Linked DNA regions of Anolis sagrei. The protein of the gene in region 3 interacts with the protein of the main gene of each other region in a biochemical or structural test. Links are inferred from orthologs where the notes say so. Each region holds a gene or a part of one and is shown on either strand. Other genes may lie near its edges.

The links.
Region 1: the proteins of MBL2 (region 3) and complement receptor type 1 interact in a biophysical measurement, tested with the Homo sapiens proteins (2 studies listed by IntAct). The link is inferred for Anolis sagrei from reciprocal best matches to the Homo sapiens genes MBL2 and CR1.
Region 2: the proteins of MBL2 (region 3) and CALR form a complex in vitro, tested with the Homo sapiens proteins (2 studies listed by BioGRID and IntAct). The link is inferred for Anolis sagrei from reciprocal best matches to the Homo sapiens genes MBL2 and CALR.

Annotation. Positions count from the first base shown.
Region 1 is NC_090024.1:196,472,701-196,480,508, forward strand, and holds the start of complement receptor type 1, read left to right. Parts: upstream 1-4,715; 5' UTR 4,716-5,210; coding exon 5,211-5,292; intron 5,293-7,808.
Region 2 is NC_090022.1:162,448,736-162,456,539, reverse strand, and holds the start of CALR (calreticulin), read right to left. Parts: upstream 3,103-7,804; 5' UTR 3,019-3,102; coding exon 2,931-3,018; intron 1-2,930. UniProt on the Homo sapiens protein: Calcium-binding chaperone that promotes folding, oligomeric assembly and quality control in the endoplasmic reticulum (ER) via the calreticulin/calnexin cycle.
Region 3 is NC_090023.1:155,058,941-155,066,726, forward strand, and holds the start of MBL2 (mannose-binding protein C), read left to right. Parts: upstream 1-4,780; 5' UTR 4,781-4,926; intron 4,927-5,057; exon of another isoform or gene 5,058-5,211; intron 5,212-7,786. UniProt on the Homo sapiens protein: Calcium-dependent lectin involved in innate immune defense. Binds mannose, fucose and N-acetylglucosamine on different microorganisms and activates the lectin complement pathway.

The DNA.
Region 1 (7,808 bases), on a different chromosome or scaffold from region 3:
ACGTTTCTTCTAGCTCATCATCCAAGTCACTGATAAAGATGTTGAATAACACTGGGCCCATGACAGAACCCTGTGGCACTCCGCTGGTCACTTCTCTCCAGGTTGAAGAGGAGCCTTTGCTTACTATCATACTTCAAAACTAGACAGAAAATCTCATCTTCTGCTCCAAAGCTGAACTGAAGTATAGTCTGGAGGTTTTTAAAGTAGGGTTGTCAAAGTCAAGATCAGAAGATGACTCCTCTACTTTTCATAGTTGGGAAGATGAGGGAATCTCAGCAATGCAGCCATGCTGAATTTCATCTGGTGACTATTAGCCTTCCCAACCTAGCTTTGTACAAGAGAGAAGAAAGGCAGAGACGGCAGGATTGGCCACAATGATCAGCAATTAATGTAACAGTTAACACATTTGGATTGATTGAAACATGCCAGATTTTGTCCCTGTTCTTTCCAGTTTTATATTGCTTAAAATAATCTGATTTAGGGAGCAGGTATAAAAACTCTTTGATTGCACCAAGAGGTGGCAGAATATATTCTGGGATACTGTATATAAGAAGCTAGCCATCCCCTGCCACACATTGCTGTGGTCCAGTCTGGTAATCTGGAAAATAAAGTAATGAGAAAGTGTTGGTTTCTAATATATGTAATTTGTTTATACTTGTGGGTAAACAGTATTTCTTGCTGTTTTCTTGTCATTGTTGATGTAGAGCAGGGGTCCTCAAACTAAAAACCTGGATGTGGGACCAGGCCTTTGGGTAAGCTGGCAGACGGACAAAGACAAGGATGACCAGAGCAGGAAAGGACAATGACAATGCTGGATGGATTATGAAATTATAAATCGGCGAGCATTGGCCACAGGATGATTTTATTACTGTTATTGTATTGATGTGATGTTTTAACTAGTGATAATTGTTGATGTTAAATTGTAAATTGTATATTGTACTTTGTGAATTGTTGGGCATCGAAATGTGCCTTTTTTGTAAGCCACCCTGAGTCCCCCCTAAGGGGTTGAGAAGGGCGGGGTAGAAGCACTCCAAATAAATAAATAAATAAATAAATAAGGCCCGGGGGCCAGATACAGCCCTCCAAGGTCATTTACCCGGCCCTCGCTCAGGGTCAACCTAAGTCTGAAACAGTTTGAAAGCATACAACAACAACAACAACAACCCTATCTCATCAGCCAAAAGCAGGCCCACATTTCCCATTGAAATACTAATGAGTTCATATTTGTTTAAATTATTCTTCATTTTAATTATTGTATTGTTTTAAAGTGTTTTTTTGCACTACAAATAAAATATGTACAGTGTGCATATCTTATTTCATTCATTCATTTTTCTTCAAATTATAATCCGGCCCTCCAACAGTTTGAGGGACTGTGACCTTATTATTATTATTAAACTTTATTTGTACCCCGCTAGCATCTCCCAAAGGGATTCGATGCGGCTTACAACAGGCCGGAGCCCAGCACAACACAATACAACAATACAACAATACAACAATACAATACATAGCAAATAAAACAGTTTAAGCAGAGAACAATGGCAATAAACAATACAACGGGACATATTAAAAAACTGAGCCGGCTGGAGTGGGGTACAGGGTTAAAAGTGCTGAAAAAAGTGACGGGGGGATATGAGATTAAAGTATAAGTGCGGTGTGCATTGGGAGTGGTCTTGACTCTACTAAAGTGCTTCTGGGCTTTGATAGTGGGGTTCCTAATCTGAGAAGGCACGTTGGAATAGCCAGGTTTTCAGTTTTTTTCTAAAAACCGCCAAGGTGGGGGCCTGTCTGAGATCTTTCGGGAGGGCATTCCAGAGGCGGGGGGCCACCACAGAGAAGGCCCTGTCCCGCGTCCCCACCAAACGCGCCTGTGAGGCGGGTGGGATCACGAGCAGGGCCTCTCCTGATGACCGGAGCGAGCGTGTGGGTTCGTAGACTGTGATGCGGTCTCAAAGGTAGGATGGTCCCAAACCGTTCAGGGCTTTGTAGGTAAGCACCTGCACCTTAAATTGGGCTCGGAAAATAAACGGCAGCCAGTGGAGCTCCTTGAACAGGAGGGTTGACCTCTCTCTGTAAGGGGCCCCCGTTAGCATCCTGGCTGCTGCCCGTTGGACCAGTTGGAATTTCCGAGCCGTTTTCAAGGGCAGCCCTACGTAGAGCGCATTGCAGTAGTCCAGTCTAGAGGTGACTAAGGCATGGACTACCCCGGCCAGATCAGCCTTCGTGAGGTACGGGCACAGCTGGCGCACAAGTCTCAGTTGTGCAAAAGCCCCCCCGGCCACTGCCGACGCCTGAGCCTCAAGCGTAAGCGATGAATCCAGGAGGACTCCCAAGCTAAGGACCTGTGGCTTCAGGGGGAGTGTAACCCCGTCCAACACAGGTTGCCACCCTATACCCCGGTCTGGTTTGCGATCAACCAGGAGGACCTCTGTCTTGTCGGGATTGATCTTCAGCTTGTTCGTCCTCATCCAGATGGACACAGCGGCCAGGCACTCGTCTAGCACCCGAGAGGCCTCCTTGGAATTAGGTGGAAAAGAGTAGTAGAGTTGTGCGTCATCTGCGTAGAGATGGCACCCAACTCCAAAACTCCGGACCTCTCCCAGCGGTTTCAAGCATGGGAGATAGAATAGAGCCTTGCGGGACCCCACAGGTCAAAGGCCAGGGGTCCGAGCAGGCATCTCCCAGCTTCACCATCTGGGTTCATCCCTCCAGGAAGGACCGGAGCCACGATAGAACCGTGCCCCCAAGGCCCATCCCCGAGAGCCGACCCAGAAGGATACCATGATCGATGGTATCGAAAGCCGCTGAGATGTCCAAGAGGACCAGCAGGGTTACACTCCCCCGGTCCAGTCCTCTACGGAGGTCATCCACCAAGGCGACCAAGGCTGTCTCGGTGCCATGACCAGGCCTGAAACCAGACTGTGCCCGATCCAGGTAATTGATGTCATCCAGGAAGCTCTGGAGCTGGAGGGCAACCACCCGCTCCAGCACCTTACCCAAAAAAGGGAGGTTGAAAATCGGTCTGTAATTGTTCAGCACTGTAGAGTCAAGGGATGACTTCTTCAGGAGTGGACGAACCACAGCCTGTTTCAAGCTGGATGGAAAAATCCCTTGCTCCAACGATGCATTGATGATCAACACAAACCAATCAACCAACCCCTCCTTGGCAGATTTAATAAGCCAGGATGGGCAAGGGTCAAGAGCCGAGGTGGTCGCCCTCACAGCCCCAAGAACCTCCCCCACGGTCTCAGGAAGAACCCTCTGTTTAAAAAGTTTGAGGACCCCTGATGTAGAGATTGTCTGGTTTGCCTACTCTGGAACATAAAGCATATAATTGTCCTTCTTTAGGGGTTCCTTTCAAATTTATGATACTGTATCTCTCATATATATAGTATATGTGCGTGTGTGTGAATCATATATATATATATCTATGGCTGGATGGCTCTTTGTCAGGAGGGCTTCAATTATACTTGCCCTGATGAAGGGAGTTGGACTGGATGGCCTTAAGGCAGCATTTCTCAAACTGGGGGTCGGGACCCCGGGGGGGAGGGGTCGTGAGGATGTCAGAAGGGTTGCCAAAGACCACCAGAAAACACAGTGTTTTCTGTTGGTCATGTGAGTTCTGTGTGGGAAGTTTAGCCCAATTCTATCGGTGGGGTTCAGAATGCCCTTTGATTGTAGGTGAACTATACATCCCAGTAACTACAACTCCCAAATGTCAAGGTCTGTTTCCCCCAAACTCCATCTGTGTTCATATTTGGGCATATGGAGTATTCGTGCCAAGTTTGGTCTAGATCCTTCATTGTTTGAGTTCACAGTGCTCTCTAGATGTAGGTGAACTACAACTCCAAAACTCAAGGTCAATGCCCACCAAACTCCTCTAGTGTTTTCTGTTGGTCATGGGAGTCCTGTGTGCCAAGTTTGATTCAATTCCATCATTGGTGGAGTTCAGAATGCTCTTTGATTGTAGGTGAACTATAAATCCCAGCAACTACAACTCCCAAATGACAAAATCAATTTTTTGAGTGATGGACACTCCTTGGGTTAGTAGGTGTCTTGTGGCCAAATTTGGCAGCAATTCGTCCAGCAGATTTTGAGTTATGATATCACTCAAAATGAACAGAGCAGATAGATAGATAGTAGGGCTGGGCGGTTTCATTTCGTTAATTCGTAATTCGTTAAAAATTCGGTTTTTTTTATAACGAAGCAATAATGAACCATTCTGGAGCAACTTAAAAACGGAACGAATTTTTAAATTCGTTTCGTAAATGCTTTGGATTCATTATGTATTTGTTTCGTTATCGGTTTGAGGTCGTTTCGTTATTATTTCCGCATGTCTGGGGCAAGTTTTATAGTTGTTTTTTGTTTAATTAGTGAAAAAAAATTATAATATCACACCAACAGTCAACAACAGAGGGAGAGGGAAGCTTCAGAAGTTCCCCCTGTCCCATTTGGAGGTTTTTTAGCGTATTGCGCGGTCGCATCCGCCATTAACGAATCGATTCGTTATTGTTTCGTATTTGTTTCGTTAATGTTTCGTAATTTTTTAACATTTATGAAATTTCGTAAATATCGAACTTTTTAAAAGAAATATTTCGGAATTCTTTTAAATATCGAAACGCAAAAACCCCCAAAAAACGAATTGATTTTTAGAAACAAATTTTTCCGTTGTTACCCAGGCCAGATAGATAGATAGATAGATAGATAGATAACAGAAACAAAGTCTAGGACTTCCTAGTCTTTTTTATCAGCCTGGATGCACTTTCGGGGCCCTTCTACACAGCCATATAACCCAGAATATCAAGGCAGAAAATCCCACAATATCTGCTCTAAATTGGGTTAGCTCGGTCCACACTGCCACATATTCCAGTTCAAAGCAGAAAATACGGGATTTTATTCAGCTGTGTGGAAGGAGCCTTAGTGTTTGATGTGGGATGCTAAATTTCAGAAATGGGACTCACATAGTGTTAAATCAATCTTACATGATATACTGAAAAATTTTGCTCTGAATTTAGAGTGAAGACGTGTTTGCAGTGATAGCACTCTCAGTGCTAGGTAGCATTTTATGTACTTCTCAGTCTAGTTCACATTGGTGTTCCTCTCTGAAAGCCCCAGTTTTAATTGTGGGTTCTTTGTTTTGTTTTTTTTTCCTTCCTCTTCTGTGATTATATATCTTTACTGAGTTCTGAAACTCATGCAGACTTAAGATCTGAATGAGAACTATGATTCCTGCCTACTCACTAAGCCTGTTGTGGGTTTTAACTACATTCTTTACTGTTACCCTTGAAGACCAAGGTAAGAATTTAGAATATGACGTTTTGCTTAGTTCTTTCCTTCCACCCTTCCACCTCTCTCCTTTCGTTGTTGTTTTTTTGTTTGTTTGTTTGTTTTTTTGCTTCCTTTGCCCTTTGTCTTCCTTACGCTTGCCAAAAGTGTCAGTGCAATGTACAACATATCCAGTGTGCTGTTGAACTGGCCAATGATATTCCTGGTATCTATTCTCTGAGTAACTTTCACGGGGAGAAAAATCCTTGGACAGAATCTGCAAAAACAATGGCAGAAGAGGGAATGGGAGTTAATTTCTTTTTTATTAGTTTCAGGTGGCCCAGGAATAATATTTGTGCACTAGTCTTCAGAACAATGTGTATCAATAGATATAATTGCATTTAGTATCTTGGGGATACAAGTTGTTATCAGGATATAAATCTCAATAAGCAGTGCTATGCTCTGAGAGAGGGCTCTTCCACACAGCTATATAACCCAGAATATTAAGGTAGAAAATCCCACAATATCTGCTTTAAACTGGGATATATGGCAGCATGGACTCAGGTAACCCAGTTCAAAGCAGATATTTTGGGTATGTATATATATATATATATGTATATATATATATATATATATATATATATATATATATATATATGGCTGTGTGGAAGGACTCGGAGACAGAAAAAGAAATGTACTTGGCAGGCACTGTGTATGGCAGTTAATTCAATTAGATCCTAAAGAGAAAGGGTTAGATGCAAGAATTACTTTACTTACTTAGGCGATTCCTCGTTGTCCGAGTAAGATTGTCCTCCAAGTACAGTGTCCTGGCAGTGGGTCCATAGGTGACTGTGGAGCCCTAATCTTGACCTGCATGTTCTCCCACAGTGAGGGCATTGGTTTCCAGGTGGAAGGTGGTCCCGGTTGGGGTTGGTTTGATGCGCCTTCCTCTTGGCACGTTTCTCCCTTTCGCCCTTCATTCATGCCTCTTCAAATTCTACAGCACTGCTGGTTACAGCTGACCTCCAGCTGGAGTGCTCAAGGGCCAGGGCTTCCCAGTTCTCAGTGCCCATGCCACAGTTTTTAAGGTTGGCTTTGAGCCCATCTTTAAATCTCTTTTCCTGCCCTCCAACATTTCGTTTTCCATTCTTGAGTTTGGACTAGACCAACTGCTTTGGGAGACGGTGATCGGGCATTCAAACAACGTGGCTGGTCCAGCGGAGTTGATGGCGGGGGACCATAGCTTCTATGCTAGTGGTCCTTGCTTCTTCCAGCACACTGACATTTGTTTGCCTGTCTTCCTGAGAGATTTGCCATATTTTTTCGGAGGCAATGCTGATGGAATCATTCCAGGAGTTGCATGTGACGTCTGTAGATAGTCCACATTTCGCAGACATATAGCAGGGTTGAGAGGACAATTGTTTTATAAACAAGCACCTTGGTATCCCTACGGATGTCCCGGTCCTCAAACACTCTCTGCTTCATTTAGAAAAATGCTGCACTCACAGAGCTCAGGTGGTGTTGTATTTCAGTGTCAATGGTGACTTTTGTGGAGAGGTGGCTGCCAAGGTAGTGGAAATGGTTAACATTTTCTAATGTTACACCATTAAGTTGTATTTCTGGCATTGCTCATTTAGAAGAAGACCTACAAACCACTCTAAACACCTTCATAGAAGCATATAAGAAGCTTGGCCTGTTAGTGAACATCGAGAAAACCAAAGTGCTCTTCCAGCAGTCACCAGCCAATCTGTCTGCAATGCCAGATGCAAGAATACAGTTTTGCTTGTTGAAGCAGTCTTAGGAACTGTGCTCTTTTTGCAGTTTTGTTAATTGGTATACCACAGTGATGTTGTTAGACCTTATGCAGCTTTTGTACTGTCGATATAGTTGCAGGCAACAGCCAATGTAAGAACTTTCTCCATTCAGAGATTTCTCAGATATTTGGGGCTGATTGTGTTTTTATTACCATGTCTGAATATGATGAAAAAACATGATTTCTTTTTGCTGATAATGTGTACCATTTATTACTTAAGAATACTATATATACTAATGTAAAAAGTTGTTGGTTTCATATATTCTCCAAACTTTTAATATTTCAAGTTGAAGCTGACATTCATATTCTGAAGTACTGTGATCTTTCTACAGATGATGTGTATATTTTTCACCTGTTTTTTGAGTGCTTATAAAGGGTAGCTCAGGGCCTAATAAGGAAAGAAAGTGTGAACAACCACAATTTACTTTCATCAAAATGTTAGATTTGCATGAGCATACAACAATAGCAAGAGGAAACCACCAGTGACGTTTCTGAAGGAAGTCTAGCAAAGTACTCAAATTCCCCAGTGGATTACAGGAAATACAGCAATCTAAAAAGTCCCATCTCATTGCTTATGCTACTCCTTTTAAAAAGGCTTCTCATTAATAAGTTTTCTTCATGTTTCTGTGTGAACTTATATTGAAAAGATAACTCCCTCCACTATGGGATGGTAAGCATTAGGTTCTCACATACTGAAATTACCTGTGGTGTTACCACTTTATTAGCAGTTAAT
Region 2 (7,804 bases), on a different chromosome or scaffold from region 3:
ACAATCCTAAACATACGTTTATACAATCTGCTCAATGGTATTCATTTCTATGCAAATGCACAGAACATTCAAGACAAACTAGAAGACAATCCTTTATTTTTTAATTTTCTACTCCATCGTGGAATAAAATTGGACACAGGATTCTTTAGAAAATAAGCATCTCTAGGTCGCACTGGGCTTACCTAAATATCACCAATTCAGCCAAATCTACCTGGGAGACCCACATCTTATTATACAAACGCTACACTATCATCAGAACGGTCTTAATAACCTATACACCAAATTGCTGTTGCATGTAAGGGCCCTTCCACCCTGCCCCTATATCCCAGGATCTGATCCCAGATCAGTAGACCCTCATATATCCCAATTTAAAGTAAATAATCTGGGATCAGCTCCTGAAATAAAGAGCAGTGTGGAAGGGCCCTAAGTTTATTTCACACTGCAAACCACATTCTATGCTTTGACTGCACATACACTCACACACATATAGACCAGAGAAATAACTGCAATGAAATAAGCACAATAGTTCTCTTATTTCCACACTGCTGAATAAAATCCCACTTTTTCTGCTTTGAACTGGGATATATGACAGTGTGGATTCAGATAAGTCAAAAGTAGATATTGTGGGATTTTCTGACTTGATATTCTGGGATATATGGCTGTGTGGAAGGGCCCTCAGTGTAGTCCCAGACTGAGGAAGCATACACCTGTCACTCTTGATCCTCTGCCAACAGGCGGTACGTGTGTGTCGGGAGAGACATCCCAGAGTGAACTATTTAGTCCACATTCACAATCCCTGTGGCCCTCATTGATTACAGTGTAATTATCAACTCCCCAGTGCGTTTAAACTAGACACAACAGTCTTTTTCCTGTCACACATACTGCCAAGTTCTCAATTTCCTCTTCCAAATGGATCATAAGCACACACAATTCATGAGTGGGTTGTTGTACGTTTTTCCCGGGCTTTATGGCCATGTTCTAGAGGCATTCTATCCTGATGTTTTGCCTGCATCTATGGTAAGCATCCTCAGAGATAGTGTGGATTCAGATAAGTCAAAAGTAGATATTGTGGGATTTTCTGACTCGATATTCTGGGATATATGGCTCTAGAACATGGCCATATAGCCCAAAAAGCCCTATAACAACTCAGTGATTCAGGACATGAAAGCCTTCGACAATACTTTTCCTTTTTGATGCAAAGTTTAACAAATAATTCCTCCTTAGATGTTTTGGGCTAAATGCCTTATAGAGCAGATCTTTGAGTCAATTAACGAATTAAGATAAATCAACTCTGTGTATATTTAGTTGAATCAAATAATGTTTTGGTATATACTAACCATTCATTTTAAGGTTGTGATTCTTGTGGCTGAAAGGAACAGATGCCCAAGAGAGACAAATACTTGAGTGTGTGATCCAATCACATCCAGAGAGGTGACCTCACTACCTCTGAGGATGCTTGCCATAGATGCAGGTGAAATGTCAGGAGAGAATGCCTGTAGAACATGGCCATATAACAAAAAACAAAACAAAACAAAAAAAAAACAAAAACCTACAACAACCCAGTGATTCCAGCCATGAATGCCTTCGACAATAAATTCATGAGTGGCCACTTAAAAATAGGGTGGACATGAGCAGAGCTCTTCCTTTTCCTCCCTTGAGAAAAAGCCCACCCCCTCCCAATTAAGCAGCAAGTTGCCTCCCTCATATATATTCCTATTTGTATTTATTCTTGGATCCTAAGAACCCACAATTCAAACAAGATATTTCACAGGGTTGTTGTAGGTTTTCCGGGCTATATGGCTATGAATTGGATTTTATGAGTCTACACTGCCATATAATCCAGGTCAAAGCAGATAATCTGGATTTTAAATGGCAATGTAGAAAGGGCCAGTGACTGTAGATTCAACATATCTGGAATCCTTCCTCCTGTCATCAATATTTTTTGCATTTCCTGGTACACTTATACTCTGGGGTAGGCATGCGAATGCAAAAGCAAGCAAACCTAAAAGCTGCAGACCCTTTCTGATCTTGGTAGTTAAGCTGGGACATTTCTGGTTACTCCTTGAATGGGAGACCACTAATGAATCCTAGTTACTATAGCTTGTATTTCTGAGGAAAGAACTGGGAAAATCATCTCTGAATTCTTTACCTACAGACTTATCACAGGGCAAAAAAGGATCCTAGGAGAATGTACTGTCGAAGGCTTTCATGGCTGGAATCACTAGGTTGTTGTAGCTTTCAGGCTATATGACCATGGTCTAGAGGCATTTTCTCCTGACGTTTCGCCTGCATCTCTGGCAAGCATCCTCAGAGGTATTTCACACATCATGAGTGGCTTGGAAAGCAAAACAGGATGGATATGAACAGAGCTCTCCCATTTTCCTCCCTTGAAAGCCCTCCAGTAAATGCCCTACCCCATCCCCAAATTAAGCAGTCAGTTGCCTCCTTCATAATATATATCCATTCCCATTCGTTTTTACATTCTTGGCCAGGCATCCAGGTTTCTCAGCCACTCTTTACTTGGAGCAGAACCTGAACCATCATGGCACAATTCTCTCTAAGGGGAACTCTGTGCCAGCCTAGAGGGGATTGATCCCCTCCCCTCCCAAAAGCCTCCATCTCTACTATGGGGTTGTCTATGGGGAAACTGCAATGTCACCCCCAGCCTTCCTCGAGCCCTAGATGGCCACAATCCAAGATGGCGGGGGGATGAAGACAAGAGAAAGACCAACCCAGGCTCAGCCCTGCTTCTCTCCATCCCCCTCCCCTTTTGTTGCACTCCTCTTAGAGGCCTACTGTTGTGATTTTACCCTCCTAACGACCCCTGGATAGAAGGGCTCCAGAAATATCCCTCACCCACCCATCCTCTCTCCCTCCCTGAGATGGGCCCATCCCTGCTGGAGGCCCCCATTCATTTCCTCGCCGCTCACCTCCATCCCCAAACTCCTCCCGGAAGTACTGCGCAGGCCCAGCCGACACCAGGGCCAGCATGGAGCAGAAGGCCAAGAAGAGAGCCATGTCTTTTCCCCGCGCGCAAGGTTCTCCTCCTCGAGCCTGACAAGGGCAACCGACTGCGGCCAGCGAAGTGCTTTCGCTGCCCTTTTATACCGGGCTGGATCGAACGCCCGCCTCCGCCGTGTCCCGATTGCTCGCGCCGGGCCGGATGGACACTGCCATTGGTCGGTCGGAAAGACGGCGGGTTGGGCAGCGCCCCCGAACGTTGGCGTCCCAGATGGCCGCTTCTGATTGGATACTACCTCTGGCCAATGGGGCACGACCACGCGTTCGGGGGGAGCCGCCCCCTCCCTATCGCCTTGTGTGCGTCACTCTTCCTTTTTCTTTTTTTTTTTGCACAAGCCCCACGTGACCCCGGCGGGATTTAAAGGGCCAGCTCAAGGCCGCTTTCCTCGCTTCTTACACCCATTCATTGCAAGGCTCTGAAAGGAGGGTGAAAGCACATTGGAGAGTGGGAATCATAGAATCATAGAGTTAGACCAGTGGCCAGGACATCAAAGGACATTTAACCAACTACCAAACTCACAAGTTTTGTATTTGTCTGTTTGCTTGCTTGTAATATAATGGACTGGTTGCTCTGACAGGACAAATAAATAGAGTTAGACGAGACCTCATGGGACATCTAGTCCAACCCCCTGCCAAGAAGCAGGAATATTGCATTCAAAGCACCCCCATCCAGCCTCTGTTTAAAAGCCTCCAAAGAAGGAGCCTCCACCAGACTCCGGGGCAGAGAGTTCCACTGCTGAACAGCTCTCAAAGTCAGAACGTATCTCTCCTTACAAACCCTTTAGGAATTTAAGATCTTCTAGGGAGGCCCTGCTCTCGGCCCTGCCATCTTCACAGGCTCGATTAGCGGGGATGAGGGATAGGGCCTTCTCAGCGGTGGCCCCTCGGTTGTGGAATGCCCTCCCCAGGGACAATAGATCAGCCCCCACCCTCTTAACATTTCGCAAAAAAGTTAAAAACTGGCTATATGAGCAGGCCTTCCCAAAGGCAGTGTAGCTTTGAAACTCTGATCTCGGAACGGTTGGACAATGTGACTGGACAATGACTGATTAATGAAATGTGGAGGACTTATGGTTTTTTATTATGTTTATTGATGTTAATTGTAATGATTTTTTAAATCTGTGTTAAATGTTTTTAATGTTTAAACTATTTTTGTACTGTTGTGGGCATCGAATTGTGCCGTTTTGTAAACCGCCATGAGTCGCCCTCGGGCTGAGAATGGTGGCATAGAAGTGTAGTAAATAAATAAATAAATAATGTTCTGCTGGAATCTCCTTTCCATCTGAAAGGAGCATAATGGGGGTTCCAGGTTGCGTCTGCCCATGAGAAAGATTGGTTCCAGCTCTCCAAGCACTTGTGCTTTACTTATGATATATTGTATATACATCTAATATTTATAATATTAAAATGTAATACAATATAATACTACTACTAATACAATATTATAATTATGTATTCCATATTACATGTAATATCACTAATAATATTACAATATAATGGCATAGTACTGATATTGTACTATGCTAATAATTACTTACTTACTTAGGCGATCCCTCGTTGTCCAAGCAGGATAGTCTTCCAGGATTAATGTACTGGTGGTTGGTCCATAAGTGTCTGTGGAGCCCTATTCTTGATCTGCATCTTCTCCCGCAGTGAGGGCATTGGTTTCCAGGTGGAATGTGGTCTCAGTCGGGGTTGTCTTAGCGTGCCTTCCTCTTGGCACATTTCTCTCTTTCACCCTCTATTCGTGCCTCTTCAAATTCTGCAGCACTGCTGGTCACAGCTGACCTCCAGCTGGAGCACTCAAGGGCCAGGGCTTCCCAGTTCTCAGTGTCTATGCCAGAGATTTTAAGTTAGGCTTTGAGCCCATCTTTAAATCTCTTTTCCTGTCCACCAACATTCTGTTTTCCATTCTTAAGTTCAGAGTAGAGCAACTGCTTTGGGAGATGGTGGTCAGGCATCTGGACAACGTGGCCGGTCCAGCAGAGTTGATGGCAGAGGACCATCGCTTCAATGCTGGTGGTCTTTGCTTCTTCCAGCACGCTGACATTTGTCCGCCTATCTTCCCAAGAGATTTGCAGGATTTTCTGGAGGTAGCGCTGATGGAATCGTATCAGGAGTTGCATGTGACCTCTGTAGACTGTCCACGTCTCACAGGCATATAGCAGGGTTGGGAGGACAATAGCTTTATAAACAAGCACCTTGGTATCCCTATGGATGTCCTGGTCCTCAAACACTCTCTGCTTCATTTGGAAAAATGCTGTGCTCACAGAGCTCAGGCGGTGTTGCATTTCGGTGTCGATGTTGACTTTGGTAGAGAGGTGGCTGCCAAGGTAGCGGAAATGGTCAACGTTTTCTAATGTTATACCATTAAGCTGTATTTCTGGCACTGGAGGGGGGTTGGCTGGTGACTGTTGGAAGAGCACTTTGGTTTTCCCGATGTTCAATGACAGGCCGAGCTTCTCGTATGCTTCTGCGAAAGTGTTTAGAGTGGCTTGTAGATCTTCTTCTGAATGCGCAGAGACGACATTGTCATCAGCGTACTGGAGTTCTGTAACAGATGTTGTTGTAACCTTGGTTTTGGCTTTCAGTCTGCTGAGGTTAAACAGCTTGCCATCTGTCCGATAGATGATTTCCACTCCGCTGGGAAGCTTCCCATCAACAAGATGAAGTATCATAGCGATGAAGATGGAGAATAAAGTTGGGGCAATAACACATCCCTGTTTGACACCTGATATTGTACTATGCTAATAACAAATTGACCATACATATAGCAATAACCTATAAAACCAACTTTACAATAAAGCATAAATAAACATTTTAAAATTATTTAACAGATATAAATACAATTGTTGTGGGAACTCCTCAATACAGATGATAAACTTTACTCAACTCACTGAAAGATATAGCCTTCCTGTCATTCCAAATTAAATATCTTCATTAAAAGCTTGCTTGAACAGGAAGGTCTGAAGATTATTATTTAAATAATAAACATTTTATTTAAATAATAACCATTGACAAATTCCTGACCATAAAATGCCTGGCTTCGATTAAAAGCTGCTTCAAAAAGGAAGATCTGCACAGCTTTCCTGAATGACATCAGTGTGGAAGCTGATCAAACTTCCTCCAGCAGCTTTGGAGCCACTCTCGAGAATGTGCTTTCTCTGGTGGCTTTTAAATGCATGATGGCCCTGGACTGTGTGGAGAACAGAGTCTCCTTACTAGACCTTAAAGGTCTGCCATTTATTAGAGGACCATTGTGGCTTAGTGGTTTGAGCATTAGGTTATGGCTCTGTAGGCCATGGTCTGAATCCCAGCTCGGCCATGGAAGCCACTGGGTGACTCACTCAATAGTTTGATATTCTGCATTAATATTGTGTTTTCTCACTTCTCCCACCCTTTGCTCTTTTCTGGTTTGTTTTGTGTTACTGGCATCATCATTGAAACCACTTGTGTCAAACTCAAGGCCCTTCATATCATTTAATGTTGTCCTGCAGATGCCTGACTACAGCTCCTATATTTTTTGTTATTAGAGCTGATGAGAGTTGTGATATAGTAACACCTGGAAGGCTGCAGTTTGTTTTGTTTAGTCACGAGAGTCAGGGTTGGATTTAGGTACAAGACTTGTGGATATGATGTCTGACTTTAACATGTCCGCTAACATTTCCCCAATCTTAGACCCTCAAGGGTTGTTGGATTGCCAGACCCATTATCCTCAGTCTGCATGGCATATAATCAAAAGTGTTGGGAATTGTCATTCCCTAACATCCAGGGGCCCAAAATGGGTAAAAACTAAAGAGACCCAACCACTATGTAAATATCTCTATATAAATAAAAATGTAATGTTCGTTCGTGGGATTAATATAACTCAAAAACCACTGGACGAATTGACACCAAATTTGGACAGTGTACACCTAACAACCCAATGTATGTCTTTCACTAAAAAAAATGATTTTGTTATTTGGGAGTTGTAGTTGCTGGGATTTGTAGTTCACCTACAATCAAAGAGCATTCTGAACTCCACCAATGATGGAATTGAATCAAACATGGCATACAGGACTCCCATGATCAACAGAAAACACTCAAAGGGTTTGGTGGGCATTGACCTTGAGTTTGGGAGTTGTAGTTCACCTACATCAGAGAGCACTGTGGACTCAAACAATGATGGATCTGGATCAAACTTGGCACAAATATTCCATATGCCCAAATATGAACATGGAGTTTGGGGAAAATAGGCATTGACATTTGGGAGTTGTAGTTACTGGGATTTATAGTTCACCTACAAACACAAAGCATTCTGAACTCTACGAATGACAGAATTGGGGCAAACTTACCACATAGAACCCCCATGACCAACAGAAAATACTTCAGGCCACCCAGTCCAACTCCCTTCACCAGGGCAAGAGAATGTAATCAAAGCCCTCCTGAACAAGAGCCATCCAGCCATAGATATAGATAGATATATATGATTCACAGAGAGAGAGATATAGTATCATAGATTTGAAAGGGACCCCTAAAGAAGGACAATTATATGTTGCATGTTCCAGAGTAGGCAAACCAGACAATCTCCATATCAACACTGACAAAGAAACAACAAGAAATACTGTTTACCCACAAGCATAAAGGCATTACATATATTAGAAATCAACATTTGCTCATTATTTTATTTTCCAGATCACCAGACTGAGCCAAAACAATGTGTGGCAAGGGATGGCTAGTATATATATATAGTTGGTCCTCTGTATTCATGGAGTCAATGGTCCTTTGAAGGCAACCATCAGGC
Region 3 (7,786 bases):
GCCCTAAACGGTTCTGGCCCGACCTATCTGTCCGAACGCATCTCCTCCTATGAACCAGTTAGGACGTTAAGATCGTCTGGGGAGGCCCTGCTCTCGGTCCCGCCGGCTTCACAAGCACGCCTGGCAGGGATGAGAGACAGGGCCTTCTCAGTAGTGGCCCCTCGGCTGTGGAACGCCCTTCCTACAGACATTAGATCAGCCCCCTCCTTACTGGCATTCCGGAAGAGTGTGAAGACCTGGCTCTTCGAACAGGCTTTCAACTAAGCAGTACAATTGAGTGATTATTGGAATGGAATAATGGACAACGAGATTGGATGCTGATTCTATTGATGAGACGTGATGGATTGTTATATTGCTGTACTGTTGTATTGATTCTGGTGTTAATTAGTTGATATTACTGTTTTAATTGATTACTGATTTTGTATCGTCTTGTTGTAACCGGTTGTTAACCGCTCTGAGTCGCCTGAGGGCTGAGAAGAGCGGTATATAAATGAAGCAAATAAATAAATAAATAAATAAATAAATAAATAAATTGTAATTCATCTTGTAGCCACCAGAGATATTACCAAACTTCCCAAAACAAACAATGCCTTTCTCAAGTAACCAGGGCATTGCCGGGTCTCCAAGCTAGAGTGAGTGTGTGTGTGTGTGTGTGTGTGTGTGTGTATCACAGGCATGGACAAACCTTTTGACACATTGTGTTTTTAAAATTTGACAGATAGGCCAGGTCAGTGGCAGATACACAGTGTTTGTGTGAACTAATTGAAATTAAAACATGAACACATTCTTACGCACATTGCACATATCTTGTTGTGGTGCAAAGAAAAAGGAAAGAAAGAATAATACAGTATTTAAAATGAAGAACAATTTTAACCAACATAAATGTAACAGTATTTCAGTGGAAGACCCCAGGGGCTATCCAGTTCAATCCCCTTCTCCATGCAGGAAAAAAAATCAAAGTACCTCAACTGATGGCCATCCAGCCTTTGTAGTAGTAACAATAGTAGTAGTAGTAAATAATAACAACAACAGCAGCAGCAGCAGCAGCAATAAAGAGCAACCCCAAAGGCCAACTTTTAGCAAGGAAAAAAAGACTTTGGGGGGAAAGGGAGGGGGAGGATCAAGAAAGAGGAGGGAAATATTAGAGGGGAGGTGGAGTGCCTGAGAATGCTTCACAGAGCCCCAAAGTCTCCATGGAGTACACTGAGAACCACTGGACTAGAGACCCCATGGGCCATTTTCCCCTAGCTGCTTATTTAAGTAGCTTTTCTATCTCACATGTGAGTTGTATATTTTATCCAGTTCTCTCTATAACCATTAGGCTATTATCTCCAACACTTGGTGAACTCCCGTCTTCAAGAATAATGACTCCTTTCCCCACAAATTTCATTTTCAAGCCCTTCCAGTCATATTTGTGAGTGTCTTATCAACAAAAAAAATTCCTGCCAACTGTTGAGAAATGTTACCCATATCTTGCCAGACAACCATCCTCATGAAAGTACATACCATGGTCCAAGAAGCTAAAACTCATTACTAGCAGCACTATCTGTTGAGACAGTTGTTCATCTACACCAATGATTCTCAACCTGGGGTCCCCAGATGTTTTTGGCCTACAACCCCCAGAAATCCCAGCCAGTTTACATCTGGGGACCCCAGGTTGAGAACCACTGATACACTATTCTTCTTTCTCTACCTATGCCATATTCTTCAACTGGGAGCAAAAATGAAAAGATAATTTGTATATTGAGGCCATTTAGTTTCCTACTCAGAGCCATGTAATCCCTCGTGATATGCTGAAGGCTATACCTTATAATGTGATTGATTCTCATATTGAACAAAACCTAAGGTCAGTTGGCTTAACAAGCCTTGTCACCCACTTTGTTACATCACAGATTTCTTTCCACTTAGCAAGATAGCAAAACTTTGAAGTCATCCTATCAGGCTTACAAATCACTTCTGTTGCACTCAGCAGGGAGCCCCCTAACACCACCATATGTCCCCTTGGCAGTGGCCATTCCTTGTGCCACCTGCACATTTCCTGAGGACAGACACTGTTGCTTTTCTTCTTGCTATTCCTTATCATCACTGCTAGTAGAGAGTGCTTCTATTCAAATCTGTAGTTTCAAGCTCAAAAAATGATCCCTAGTCCTTCTACTTCTGTGTGTCCTCCAAATGTCATCCTCTTGCACTTGGTGTTATTGAGGACTCCCAACCCTACCCCTAATAAAAAGAAGACATAATTCAACCTCCATGGGAACTGCAGCTTCCCAAGAAAAGAAGTTCAGATGAACTAGAAATGGCCTCCATCCCCACAACCTTCTTGGCACTGACCAAGACCCACCTCCTCACCAATTGGAGACCTGGGGAATGCCGGCTGGCTTCTCGGCACTGGCCAGTCAGGGGAAAGGGAGGGAATTTCTAAATGTAGTAATGTTAATGCAAGAGAATTCTTGAGTATAATAATGTTTGGTTACGATTATGCTTTTACGCTTATACCTTTTGAGCATCCATGCTATATGAGTGTTCCTTTTGCACAAATTGAATAAAGGTCTTTGTCATTTGCCTTCCAAATGGTGAGATTCCTGGTTCCTGATTCATGCCATCCACAGTTAGCAAACCTAGATATTCCACTCCAAATTTCTGGCATCATTGCGACCTGATCCATTCCTCTGAAATGTTCATTGTATTTTTATCTTCCATAACTGTCTGCTCTGCTGTGTCCAAAAAGCTCATACTCCCTAACAGGCTGGAGCAATGTTTCTCGAACTCTGCTCCTCCAGATATTTGGACTTCAGCTTCCATAATTCCTAACAGCTGATAAGCTCCTGGGATTTCTGGGAGCTGAAGTCCAAAACACCTGGAAGACCAAAGGTTGAGAAACACTAGGGTGGAAAGTAGATACAAGTTGTTGGACCTTCTCTTCCAACGGAGGGCTAATTAATTGGAAAGATGTCAAGATCTCAATGTTCCAAATGACTTTTAACTGCAATGTTTTGTTAATGATGAGTTTAATAAAGACACTTCTCAAAAACAATCTGGACAAAGAAAATTGTTTTTTGGAAATTGTATCATGTTTGTATAATAACAATTTTAACAACAATAAATGGTCTAAAATTATTCTAGAGTTCATTTGTGATGGTTAAAACTAAAAAGAAGCTATTATATCTGATTTTATAAAACACTGTAGGCTTTTTTTAAAAAGCACATTCTAGCAATGTAAAATGAGAGTGGATCTGTCAAGACCCAGAAGCCTCAAGAATGACAAACACAGTATAAAAGGTCCAAACAAAGGTTTATTAAACACAAAAAGGCTTAGAGACACTTAACTCGGTGCCTCTAGCACAAACTAAGAGTCTATAGCAACTGCTAAGCAAAAAACCCAATTTAAAAATAATCTGGATTATACCAGAGTATAATCTGGGATAACAAAAAGTTACAGCAATCCACTTGAAAGGTCCAAAAAGCACAAGAAAACAAGGTGGGAGCATGCAAAATCAAAGTCCAAAAGCAGTCCAAAGTCCAGGCACATCCAAAATGAGATGAAGCAGTCCAAAAAGCAAAGTCATCATCAAAACACAGTCCAGAGTCAAAGGGGAGGTTGAAGTCAACACTTACGGAGTTTCAGCCAGAAGTCACGGAAACACGGAGATCTGTAGTCCAAGGGCCCAAACTTGAGAGTAATGACAGTAACAAAGATCCAAACCCAATAAGACACTTTGCCTTCTGCAAAGACCCATTGAATTCAAACCAACTTATATCCTATAACTCCTCACCAGAGGATGAACTGCTCCCCACCCTTTCATCATCACTTTCAGCTGCCCCATTCCCTGCAGCTGAGCACTGATGCCCATCTCTCCACCTTTGTCAGTGTCTTTCAAGACTTAGGTCTTCCCAAGTGTTCCCAGATTGCCATTCCTCTGCAAACCCCTCAATGTCATCACTGGATGTAGGCCGAGTACAGATGCCCCTAATCTCCTGCTACGGATCCAGTCTAAAGCATCCTCCTCCCCATCGTCACTCCCAGTCCCATTACTCCTTTGAAAACCCACAAAGTCTCCAACAGAAGATGAAGACTTTGTGGGTTTTCAAAGGAGTGATGGGAGTGATGCAGGAGATTAGGGGCATCTGTACTCAGCCTACATCCAGTGATGACTTTGAGGGGTTTGCAGAGGAATGGCAATCTGGGAACACTTGGGAAGACCTAAGTCTTGAAAGACGCTTCCTTTGGATCTCCTCATCTGATTCTTGAGTAGCCCACTTAACTCCCCTGCTTTCCTCTCCTTCCCCCATTTCACAATCTGAGAAACCCTCGAAGGACTCGGAATCAGTTGGAGCCATGAATATGTCTCTAATCCGCTTTCGCTGCTGCTGCTCCTCCAACACCTGCGCAGCCCTCTTCTCCCTTCTACCAGTAGTAGGAACGTTACTATCATGCTGTACTACAACAGGATCTTTAACATTTGGAGTAACACCAATCAGTCAGGTTTTTCAAGAGGTAACAGCAAGGGGGGGAAATCCCACAGAAATATGTATGTACCTGATAGAGAACAAAGTGTCTCCCAAAAATGGTCCACTTTTTGTGGCCTCAATTCAGAACTCTGTTTAACTGTTTGGAGAGGTCAAATGTGACTCACCTCTTCCTTCCTTCTGGGAACTTGGTATTGTTTGAGCAACTATGCATACAAACTCTATTCTTCCTGATATTTACTCTTTTCCCCCATCCTCCTGTTTTAAAGATTTCTCAACCTCACTAGACATTAGAATTATAAGGTCACCCTAGAGAACGTACCAGAAGTTAAGTCATGTGTACTATAATAGGCCTGATAATGGTTCAAAAGTACCAAGTCTTGCGGATTTTTGTATGACTGTCATTCATAAAATGCCACAAGATGGAAAGAAACAACTTTGGAGAGGTGATCTGAAAAGGTAACTTTAAATGTATTCTTGTTATCTAGTAAGTCAATAGGCAACGAGCTTATCATAAAACACCACAGTCCATGCTAATAAATGGTGAAATAGAAAGCCCCATTTTGCAATCCATAGATTTGTGCAAGCATGGGGATTAAGTAAACATGCTTACCTGTGTAGAGGGTTTTTCCTTACCCTGTTTTTTCTCAGCATTCTGAAGAGAAGATAAATCTGCTCTTTGTTCCCACCTTTGTATTTTTTTCACATCAAATGAATTATTTTATTTGAAACTGGATTGAGCTGGTAAGTAATGCTGCTTTACACCTTAATTTCCCCCACCTTTAGTGGTTGCTTTATTCAGTTGGTCTTCCTCCATGCTCTTGATGCAGCTGAATGAACTGTAATCATGTTTTCTTTGGGTGCTTCTACACAGACACTATAATGAATTTGAAGCCACCCTCAATTTGTGCTGTGGCACAGATCAAGCTAGAACTTGCACACTAAGGCCCCTTCCACACTGTCCTATATCTCAGGAACTGATTCCAGATTATCTTGTTATCCCAGCTTATCTGGCAGTGTAGACACATATAATCTATTTTAAAGTAGATAATCCAATCCTGAGATATAAGGCAGTGTAGAAGGGGCATTAGGTGAGCATTACAATTATTGTGTTGTCAAAGGCTTTTATGGCCAGAATCACTGGATTGCTGTGAGTTTTTCAGGCTGTATGGCCATTTTCCAGTAGCATTCTCTCCTGACATTTGCAGCATTCTCCCCTGACCCCTGAAAAATCCTCTGAGGATGCTTGTCATAGATGCAGGTGTAAGGTCAAGAGAGAATGCTACTGAAACACGGACATACAGCCCAAAAAACTCACAGCAACCCCATTACAATTATTGAAAGCAGAGATGGTTACATTGCAAAACCCGAGGCATAGTTATGCTGTTATGGATCTGGGTTAGAATCCCTGCATAATTTCCATTTAAGAAGGGCAAAATCTACCTTGAGAAGAGAAAAAGAATCACAAATTTGAAAGATCTGCATGTTCAAAAAGTTAGTTTCCATGCTCGTTGATACCTGCTTCAACCTTTATATCTCACCAGAGAATTTACTTGTCCGCTTTTATAATGATAATGACTCGGTGTGTGCAAATTTCCAGCAGTCAATTCTGATTGTGGCAAAATTCAGAGATTTGTGGATACAAACTGCCAAAACAAAACACTGGAAGGGCAAAATAGAACACACACAGAATTCCGGAAAAAGTTCATTAGCTTTGTTTATACTCTGATGGCTTCTTTTTCCATACTTAAAGAAGCAGCAGGTTGATGGGCATCACATGATCAGCCTCAGCCAAACACAAGCTGAATTTCCTCTCTATTGTCCTGGACTTCAAGATCCAGAATTCCCTGTTTTTTCCCTACAAGTTGTCTCCTCCTTTCAGAATGAGAGAGAGAAAAATTAAGAAATTCCTAATTATCAGTGGATGAATTGATCTTTCTGAAACTTGGCAGGAATTATGCCCTACTCCTGTTCAGTCACTGTGGAGAAAATCCAGGAGATACCTCCCTCTCTCCCTTTTTTTGGATTTTTTAAATGTTATTGGCAAAAACTTAAAACACTTCCCAAAACTAAGTGGATGAATTCTTGAATTCTTAATAATTTCAGTTCTTTACCTAGTATTTTATCTTTTGGTTGTTTATTATGTTCAAGTTCCTTTTCTTTAATTTTCAGTTGAATTTTGTGCAGTTTGACCCAGTTTATTTTCTTTTTTTATTACATTGAGTTGTATTAATTTACCCCTTATAAAACTTTGCCATATTCCAGAATGTATATGGTGACATTCAGAGAGTTGTGTTTAATTGTAGAAATCCTAAATATAGTTTTCACATTTCTTTAAGATTTCTTCTTTCTTGAGTAAATTGTCATTAAGCCTCTATATTCATTGTCTGTCTTGTCCTTTTAGTTTAATTGAAATGGAGACATAGTCTGACACCATCCTTGGGTGGAATACAAAGTTTCATATTTTATTTATTTATTTATTTCACACATTTCTACCCCACCCTTCTCAACCCCCGAGGGGGGACTCAGGGCGGCTTACAAAAGGCACAATTCGATGCCAACAACAATAAAATAAAACATGTATCAAAAGCAATTATAAAACACTTAAAACAGTTAAAACAATCAATAAAACCAATCTAATGTTCAACGTTCGCCAGCTCAGAATCCATAAATTCATTCCACATTGTCAAATCATATCAATTCTAGTCGTCATTGTCCTTTGTCTATCTGCCAGATTACCCAAAGGCCTGGTCCCATATCCATGTTTTTAGTTTCTTTCTGAAAGAGAGGAGGGATCTCGATGATCTGATTTCCCCGGGAAGTGAATTCCACAGGCAAGGGGACACCACCGAGAAGGCCCTACTCCTCGTCCCCACCAATCTCACTTGTGATCGAGGTGGGGCCGAGAGCAGGGCCTCCCCATAAGATCTTAAACTCGGCGGTACATAGAAGGAGATGCGTTCGGACAGGTACGCTGGGCCGGAGCCGTATAGGGTTTTGTAGGTCAAAACCAGCACTTTGAATTGTGCTCGGAACTGGATCGGCAACCAGCGGAGCTGACATAACAGAGGGGTGGTATGTTCCCTGTATGACACTCTGGTGAGTAATCTGGCCGACGCCTACTGGACTAATTGAAGTTTCCGAACAGTCTTCAAAGGCAACCCCACATAGAGTGTGTTGCAGTAATCTATTCGAGATGTAACAAGAGTGTGGACCACTACGGCCAGATCTGTTGTGTAGTAAGGCTTTTTGTGTCCCAGATTATATCAATTCTTGGCAGTCAATTGTGTCTGTCTGATAGGAATGTAAAGTCCTTTTT